2 linked regions of the Macaca mulatta genome follow. The protein of the gene in region 1 purifies or fractionates together with the protein of each later gene. This does not show direct contact. Links are inferred from orthologs where the notes say so. Each region holds a gene or a part of one and is shown on either strand. Other genes may lie near its edges.

Region 1 (4,295 bases):
GGGATGCAGGCCTAAAGAAATTCAGTGACTTGACCAAAGCCCACAGTGGTGATGAAACCAATACCTAAGAGTGGGGTTTCTCACTCCCCTTTTCCATCACACATATATATACTGAAAAGACATGAAGTTACTAAGATGTGTCCTGGAAGCTCTGAGGCAGATCTGCTGTAGGAGGGATCAGCAGAGGCTTCCCTAGTCAGGGCATTCTCTGGGCGTTCAGCCCTTCCCTCCATTGGGCTCCAGCGCTGTAGAGAGGATGGGATTTTTACCTATTAGTGCAGCGGGAAAAGATACCCAGGTGGCAGGAAGTTTAAGCCTCACCTGGAACTTACATTGAAAGCCACTTGGTATAAAGGATCATGGTTTGGAGACAATTCTATTCCTGCCAGCTTTGACACTGTGTCTGCAAATCCCTCAGCTATTCTGAGTCTCCGTTTTCTCCCTGTGAGATGGAGATCATAAAATCCGCCTCATCCTTAGGATTATTCTCCTGAGGCTACAATAAGGCCTGAGGCTTTGTACACTGGAAGAAACGTGTATTAATAGAAACTTCTGTCCCACCCCATCCCCCAACACGTCGATCCCCTCCGGAGCATAAAACTTTTCCCAGCATCTGACCTGCCCAGGCCACCCTAGCACCTAGGAGCGTGAATTCCTGATGAGAGTTCTGGGTGGCGCGCCCTCCGGGCTCCCGCTCTCGTTTTTGTTTTTGGTCAAGAAAGGCGATGCTCTAGAGGCTGGCGATCTCCGGTCTTCACGAATCCGCACGTCTCTCCATTATCACCGCGCCCGCCCACTGGGCCCCGGGGCGGCCGGCGGCCGGGTCTCTTGGGCTCCGCGTGTCGCCCGAGCCGCCGCGGAGCGAGGGTCCCTGCCCCCTGGGAAGCGGTCTCCGGCCGCTTGGAGGCCGCCTTCTTCCCCCTCCGTGAGTCAGAAACAAAGGCGGGGGGGCGGGGGGAGCGCCCGAGCTGCGGCTCCGCGATTCGCCCTTTATTCTGAACTCGCAACGTCAGCGGCCCGCGGATGGAGCTGCGGGGCGCGGGCTGGGCCGCCCACAGCGCACCGGGCCGGGGGAGCGGCCGCGCTGGGCCGGGCCGGCGGCTGGCGGGGGCGCGCTCGGGGACCCGGGCCGCGTGGGCGCCGGGATGGAGGGCGCCGAGGGGCGGGGAGCGGGCGTGCGTGTGTGTGCGAGTGCGAACGCGAGGGAGGCCGGCCTTGAGTGAAACCGGAGCTACAAAGAAGGGGAGAGTCCGGGAGCGGGAGGGCGCGAGGGAGGAGCAGCGGCGGCGCCGGGGCAGCTCCGACGCCCTCCCGCGGGGAAGGAGCCCCCGCGGAGCCGCCGAGGCCCCGACGCGGGGCCGCCCCTCGGCCCGCAGCCCCGCGCTCGCGCCCGCTGGGAATGATGAAGAAGAACAATTCCGCCAAGCGGGTGAGTGCGCCCGCCCGCCCTGCGGCCGCCGCCGCCTCCACGCTCCGACGACCCCGGCCCCGTCGGCGCCGCGGCAGCCTGAGAGACACCCGCCCCGGCCGCTCCCCCGCCCCGGCGGCCAGGTCCCCTTGGCCTCGGCCCCGGGCCGGGGCTCTGGGCCCCGCGAGGCGCCGGCGGGGGCTTTTGTTTGTTTACTCGCCTCAGGGGGATTCAACTTGGCTGAGTTTCCCCCCGACCCGCGCCTCCCCCGCCCCTGGACGCCGGGCGGGCGTTTGCCTTGCGCTCCGCCGTGGCGAGGAGACAATGGGAGAGAAAACCAAAGAAACGCCGTTAGTCCCCGCGCGGCGAGCACGGGGCGGCGGGGACGCAGGGCCTGGAGGGAGCCCGGGAGCCCCTCCGCGCCCGGCCCGCGCCCCTGCCACTCGCAGCCCCGGTTGTTTATTCGGGAGCAGGGGAGGGGAACGGGGGGAGTTCCTTGGAGTGAAAACCTTTCCGAAGTGGGAGCGAACCTGGGGCGCCCCCCCCCACCCCCGGCCGCAGCCTTCGGAGGAGACGGGGCCGCTGAGGCGGTCGTGAGAGACGGATGGAGAGGAAGCCGCGGCTGGAATCTCCTAACCGCCCGCTTCTCATCTTGTCCTGGGGCAGGGGCCTCAGGATGGAAACCAGCAGCCTGCACCGCCCGAGAAGGTCGGCTGGGTCCGGAAATTCTGCGGGAAAGGGATTTTCAGGGAGATTTGGAAAAACCGCTATGTGGTGCTGAAAGGGGACCAGCTCTACATCTCTGAGAAGGAGGTGGGTGCTTCTTGCCTCTAACTCTGCGTTTTCTCATACCCCCCACTTTGTCACTCCACAAGGGCTCGCCTAGCTTACTCCACCCTCGTTTTGTTCCAAAGGCAAGTTCAGTGGTCTCCTGACTCTCTACCCCCATCGCATCTGCAGAGAAAGGTCACCCTTTAGTGAGAAGACCCGAGTGAGAATTAGAAGTTGAGCTGGCCGCTTACTCAGTGTTTTTTTGTTTGCAAATACCTTTCTAACAACAATGATAAGCCCCTCCCAAGACGCCCCAGAAGTCCTGAGTGTCCCTTGCTGCCTCCCACCCTAACCGGCCTCCTGAATATAGGATTTATTTTCTTTGTTATTTCTGCTGAAACAGTTTAGCCTATTCGCCACCCCTTTCTGTCCCCCGACCCTACCCCAGCCAGCCTCCCCTTTCCTGTCTGTGGCAGGAGCGTGCACAGGTCCTGTCCGTGGCGCATCCGCCCTGAATCACAGAAAATACACACGCACCCCGCTGTCTGGCCCCTGTGACCTCGGGTCTGTGAGTGGCAGTTATTTTCGTTGAAGGCAGTGTCCCTAACCAGTATGCTCTCTGTTCCCCACCCCCACCCCATTTTAAAAAGGCAAGGAACCCATTTTCTACCCACTTCCTGCCCACCCCCCCCCATTTGTATCAGAAGGGAGAAGAATGGAGTTAAGAACCCCTGTATGTCTTTGGATACCTTTGGCTGTGTATTTAACCATGAAAACCAGTCTACACTGTGTCAAAACCTGAGCTATGATAATTGAATCCAGACCCATCTCCCTTTTTTCCCTAAGTCTTGGGGTCAATAACGTGTACTCATGTTGAGAAATCAGAATTGCCCCTCCAGTGGTTAGAAGTCACTCCATTCCCTGCCTCTGTGACTGTCGGTATAGCCTGGGAGACTGTCCTGTGTACCAGTTAGAGTGGCTCTTCCTCTCGCCCTCACAGGAGGGATTCTGTGTTCCCTCACCCAGAGCTAACTGGGAAGTCCTCCCTGAGTTCTAACCTCTTCTACTTTCTGCAGTAGACACCCTTATTCAGTAGATTATATTTAGGTAAATAAAACCTTTTATGGTATTGAAACAGATACACACACACCCTGAGACAAAGTACTCATCTAGAAGAACATCTACTGAGGCATCTAGGGAAGAACTAAGCTGTGCCACAGCCAAAGAGATCCCTCTTAAGGGTATTGAAACCTAACTGTTTACACAAAGCTAGGAAGTTGGTGATGGAAAGTCTTAGGAGTGAGGTGAAGGCACTTTTCTTGGTCTGTCACCCAGGCTGGAATGCAGTGGTTCGATCACAGCTCACTGCAACCTCCACCTCCAGGGCTCAAGTGATCCTCCCATCTCATCCTCCGAGTAGCTGGGACTACAGGTGGGTGCCACCATGTCTGGCTAGTTTTTGTATTTTTTGTAGAGACAGTGTTTCGCATTGTTGACCAGGCTGCTCTCAAACTCCTGGCCTCAAGTGGTCCACCAGCCTCAGCCTTCCAAAGTACTGGGATTACAGATGTGAGCCACCATGCCCGGCCAGGAGGATTTATTTTTAAGAGTTACGGCTGCCCAATCACAAATCCTCCAGAAAGTTTTCTCCACAACTTTCCGGCTTTCTAATTTAAAAAAAAAAAAAAAAAAAAAAAGCAAGTGTCAAAGTGTATCTCCTGTCTTCCCCGAACTTCTTAATTGCAGGAAACTCTAGTTACCAATCAGGGAGAACTTCCTACAAGTCAGGGAAAACGTAATAGTGAAAGGGTAAGAGGAATAAAACATCCATTGCTTGTTTGTATTTGCCCAAAGAGCAGAGTCTGGGGGCAAAAGTATAGTTGATCCTTGCTTGTGAGGAAGAGGTACAGAGACAGGGGAAAGGATGGAATGACCTCAGCCTAGGATGTCTGGTGTCCTATGAGTCAGGACCATCTGACTGGTCACGGAGCCAGCTGTCTCCTGCTGGGAAGGGCACAGGAAAGAGGGACTAGACATATTGATACTATGCTTTTTTAGAGCCAGTTTCCATGCTACAGTGGGCCTGGTTAAAAGTGAAATTGACAGAGGACTCTGG
Region 2 (3,805 bases), about 100 Mb from region 1:
TTCCTGCAGTAAGTTTTAAAATTGTGGGTAAAAGAATAGTAACCCCGCAAGGAGGTCACAATTGAGCTTGCATTTTTACCTCCCCTGGCTCCAGCATTTGAAACTTTAGATCTGGTCACTGTGGCCTGCCAAGGAGAAGCTGCCTGTAGTGGGAGCCAGGCCACAGGGTGGGACGTTGGAGTGGAAACGGCCAGTTCCACCCTATAAAACTTTAATGCGGTTGTTTTATTTTTCTGGAAGAAATGGAACGCTCAGGGATGGGACTGAGGGGAAGCAGCCGTGGGCCACCTGGTGCTTTTGAACTGGTCGCCGGAGGGTGTCGACAGTGTCAGGCCATCGGGATTTCTCCTGGTTCCCCTCCAGGGCAGCCTGACCTGCCTCTCCCCAGTGTCCCAGCACACAGAGGAGAGCAAGCCTTGGGCGGGCACAGCACCGCAGCTCTGTGTGGATCTGTGAAGGAGCGGAAGGATGAAATGCCCCTGGGCTGCAAGCCTTCTTTCCAGAATGGCCAAAGGAAAGAAGGAATTATTGGCCCATCCTTTTTGCCAGCAAAGTAGGGTTTTTTTGTTTGTTTTTCTTCCCCCTCTTTTGATGTGGGGCTGCTCTCCCTATAAGCTGGCTGAAAGAGAAAACCGTGTGCTAGAACCAAGCCATCTGTCGCCAACAGGAAGGGTATTAGCAGGTCTGTTCTGAGTTGCTCTTCTCTCGGTAGTGTTCGTGTGCCTCGTAAGTTAACCTGCAAGAATCCAGGAGAATAAGCCAGAAAGGCTCACGGAGCCCATGCTGCCAGTCATCTGAGCCCTGCTAAACCTCAGGTCTAGCAGGGGCAGTCAGTCCCTCTCCAGGTGTTCCGGGAACATTCCAGAATGGCCTGATCTCTCCAACTCTGTATGGGGCCGGTCCAGACCAGGAGGGCCCTATGGAGGCAGATGGGGCCTTGGGCCCTGGACCAAAACACTCATCTGCTTAGCTCGCCTTGCCCCAAGAAGGGAGAGTTTGGAGACAGACTGGAATAAAGGAAATGATCTTCTGGAGTGGGGTCTCTGAGTGCCAGTATTGGCCGGTGTCCTGGACATCACCTCTGCCAGCAGTGAGCGCTGAGCCCCACAGGTGTGTCTGTTCATCCAGTGGTCCTTTTCCTCTAGAAGGAAAGGATGCCTGTGCTACACCTTGCCAGAGCCAGGCCCTTCCCCACCCTGTGCAGTTTGACCAGTGATGAGCTCAGCATCTGGCACCTGACACATCCATCCCACAGGTGTTCCCTGAGTGGCACTTGTGTTAGCCAGGCAGCCCTGCCCTCATATGCCCTCCTGCAGACTCGCCTGTGGGCGCACCATGGTGTATTCGGTTTGATAGCTTAATCACAGTGGTTAGTGCCACAGAGGGCACGGGACAGAATGTGGTCCTGCCGCAGGGGCTGGCTGCAGCCTGCCTGAGGGAGCCCTCGGGGCGGGGCCAAGGGTAGCCCACCTGAGTATCAGCCCTCCTGGATGCTCCACAGGTCTGAGGGTTGGAGTGAGGGCAGACCAGCCAGGGCACCCTCATTCTCCTGGGAGGATGCTTTGCTTCCTTGGTCTGATGGTCTCTTAGTTACATTACACTCTGGTGTATTCGCGTACTGATTTTTCACAAAAGCTTTTTAGTCTGGAACAGTATGACTTACTGTCAAATTGCAAAAAAAAAAAAAAAAAAAAAATACAGAGAATTCTTGTATACCCATCACCCACATTCTGTAAATATTCACATTTACCGTCTGTATTTTTTATTATAGAATAGCTTTGGTGAGACATAATCTACAGATACATGTTAATTTCTAGTACTTAATTTTACATTAACCGTTTGGTAGGTGTCTACTTTTCCTAATTGTTTGTCTCTCAACAGCCATAGAAAGTAGATTAAGTCCCTAAAGTCCATGTTCACGCCACTGGTCCCTTAGTAAACAGTTGGACGCATGCATGCGTGAGCATAGCTCATAGCTGGGGCTGGGCGTGCTAGAGCTGTCATTGGGTCCGTCTGACTCCCAAGCCTGGGCCCACCTTCCCAGCTGTCTGGGGCTGAGGGCGGTGTGCTCCCAGAATACGCCTGTCGCACCAGGGCTTTGGGGCTTAATAGGGGTCAGAGAGGCCCCAGACTTCCTGATAAAGATGTGCTCACCATGAGAGATGCGATTGCTTACAGTTTCACTGGTTATCAGCAGAGATGAGATTTCTCTTTTTGGGGCTTAATTGGGGTCGGAGAGGCTACAGATTTCGCCACAAGAAATGAGATTTCGCTGGTTATCACCAGCATTTGCAGTTCCCATCAGCTGACTCCACCCCTCACCTCTGCTCACGGCAGCCCCAGCGAGCCACAGTAGTTGACCTGGGTCTGTTGGGTTTGGGATCCCAGACTGATTCCCATTTCTCATCTAACCTTTTCATTCCCTCTGCCATTTGATCGTAATTAGAAATCCCTCTTCCATTTGATCATAATTAGAAATGTTTCTGGGCCAGATGCAGTGGATCACTTGAGGTCAGGAGATCGAGACCAGCCTGGCCAACATGGCGAAACCCCATCTCTACTAAAAATACAGAAATTAGCCGGGCGCAGTGGTGCACACCTGTAATCCCAGCTACTCAGGAGGCTGAGGCAGGAGAATCGTTTGAACCTGGGAGGTGGAGGTTGCAGTGAGCCGAGATGGTGCCACTGCACTCTGGCCTGGGAGACAGTAAGACTTCATCTCAAAAAAAAAAAAAAAGAGAGAGAGATGTTTTTGTATGGACTCGGATTTGAGGAGGAAGCACTGTCTCAAGCTGAGCCCTTCATTTCCGGCTAGCGCTTTGTAGGAAGTTGCTCCGAAAGACCAGCTGGAGCCCTGGTCAGGAGGGATCAGCGTGTAGGGAGTTTGTTGCTGTATTTTCTCATCTGCCTTGTAACCCAAAAGACAGAAATATCGAACAACCGTGGTCACTCCAGTAGTCATAGCCTGCATGGATTGTCACTGGATGTCACTCGTGCTGCGTTCTTTATCTGGGAGGAATGTGACGCCTAGAGAGGTCCAGTAAACCAAAGACCACAAAGCTAAGGGAGGTGGCAGAGCCCAAACTCAAGTTCATCTTTATGATGCCTAAACCTACTACACCCCCAAAAATGCTGCACCCTCTCCCCGAGCCAGAGAACAATCAGAACACACCCAAGGATCGGCTCCTATAACTGTTGCAGGGAGGACCCTAAATCCCAGAATCTTTGCTGAGCAACAGCCTGGGACCCAGGCTGATTATCTGTCCTTTAGCATCTAACAGGCACATTGGCCTGTTTCCTGCAGGTATTTTGAAGGCGGCGTCTCATCTGTCTACCTCTGGGATCTGGATCATGGCTTTGCTGGAGTGATCCTCATAAAGAAGGCTGGAGATGGATCAAAGAAGATCAAAGGCTGCTGGGATTCCATCCACGTGGTAGAAGTGCAGGTACCGCCTCCCAGCAGCTGGTGGCCGGGGCCACTAAGTACAGAATCACACCAAACAGTGCCGCGCTGCTCTCTAGCAGATGCAGTGAGGGGGATGCTATGATCTCTGAACCCCTCATTCTGAGAAATGCCTCCAAGCCATTTGGATAAAGATAAGTCAAGATTGCAGTAGTCGCCAGGCGCGGTAGCTCAAGCCTGTAATCCCAGCACTTTGGGAGGCTGAGACGGGTGGATCACGAGGTCAGGAGATCGAGACCATCCTGGCTAACACAGTGAAACCCCGTCTCTACTAAAAAATACAAAAAACTAGCTGGACGAGGTGGCGGGCGCCTGTAGTCCCAGCTACTCGGGAGGCTGAGG

What was found.
Region 2: the proteins of PLEKHO1 (region 1) and CAPZB purify together in Homo sapiens (co-immunoprecipitation; 3 studies listed by BioGRID and IntAct, counting the BioPlex papers as one, with this or other methods). This does not show direct contact. The link is inferred for Macaca mulatta from reciprocal best matches to the Homo sapiens genes PLEKHO1 and CAPZB.

The regions. Positions count from the first base shown.
Region 1 is NC_133406.1:116,993,086-116,997,380, reverse strand, and holds the start of PLEKHO1 (pleckstrin homology domain-containing family O member 1), read left to right. Parts: upstream 1-1,367; 5' UTR 1,368-1,399; coding exon 1,400-1,429; intron 1,430-1,718; exon of another isoform or gene 1,719-2,074; coding exon 2,075-2,221; intron 2,222-4,295. UniProt on the Homo sapiens protein: Plays a role in the regulation of the actin cytoskeleton through its interactions with actin capping protein (CP).
Region 2 is NC_133406.1:221,614,664-221,618,468, forward strand, and holds part of CAPZB (F-actin-capping protein subunit beta), read left to right. Parts: intron 1-3,304; coding exon 3,305-3,446; intron 3,447-3,805. UniProt on the Homo sapiens protein: F-actin-capping proteins bind in a Ca(2+)-independent manner to the fast growing ends of actin filaments (barbed end) thereby blocking the exchange of subunits at these ends.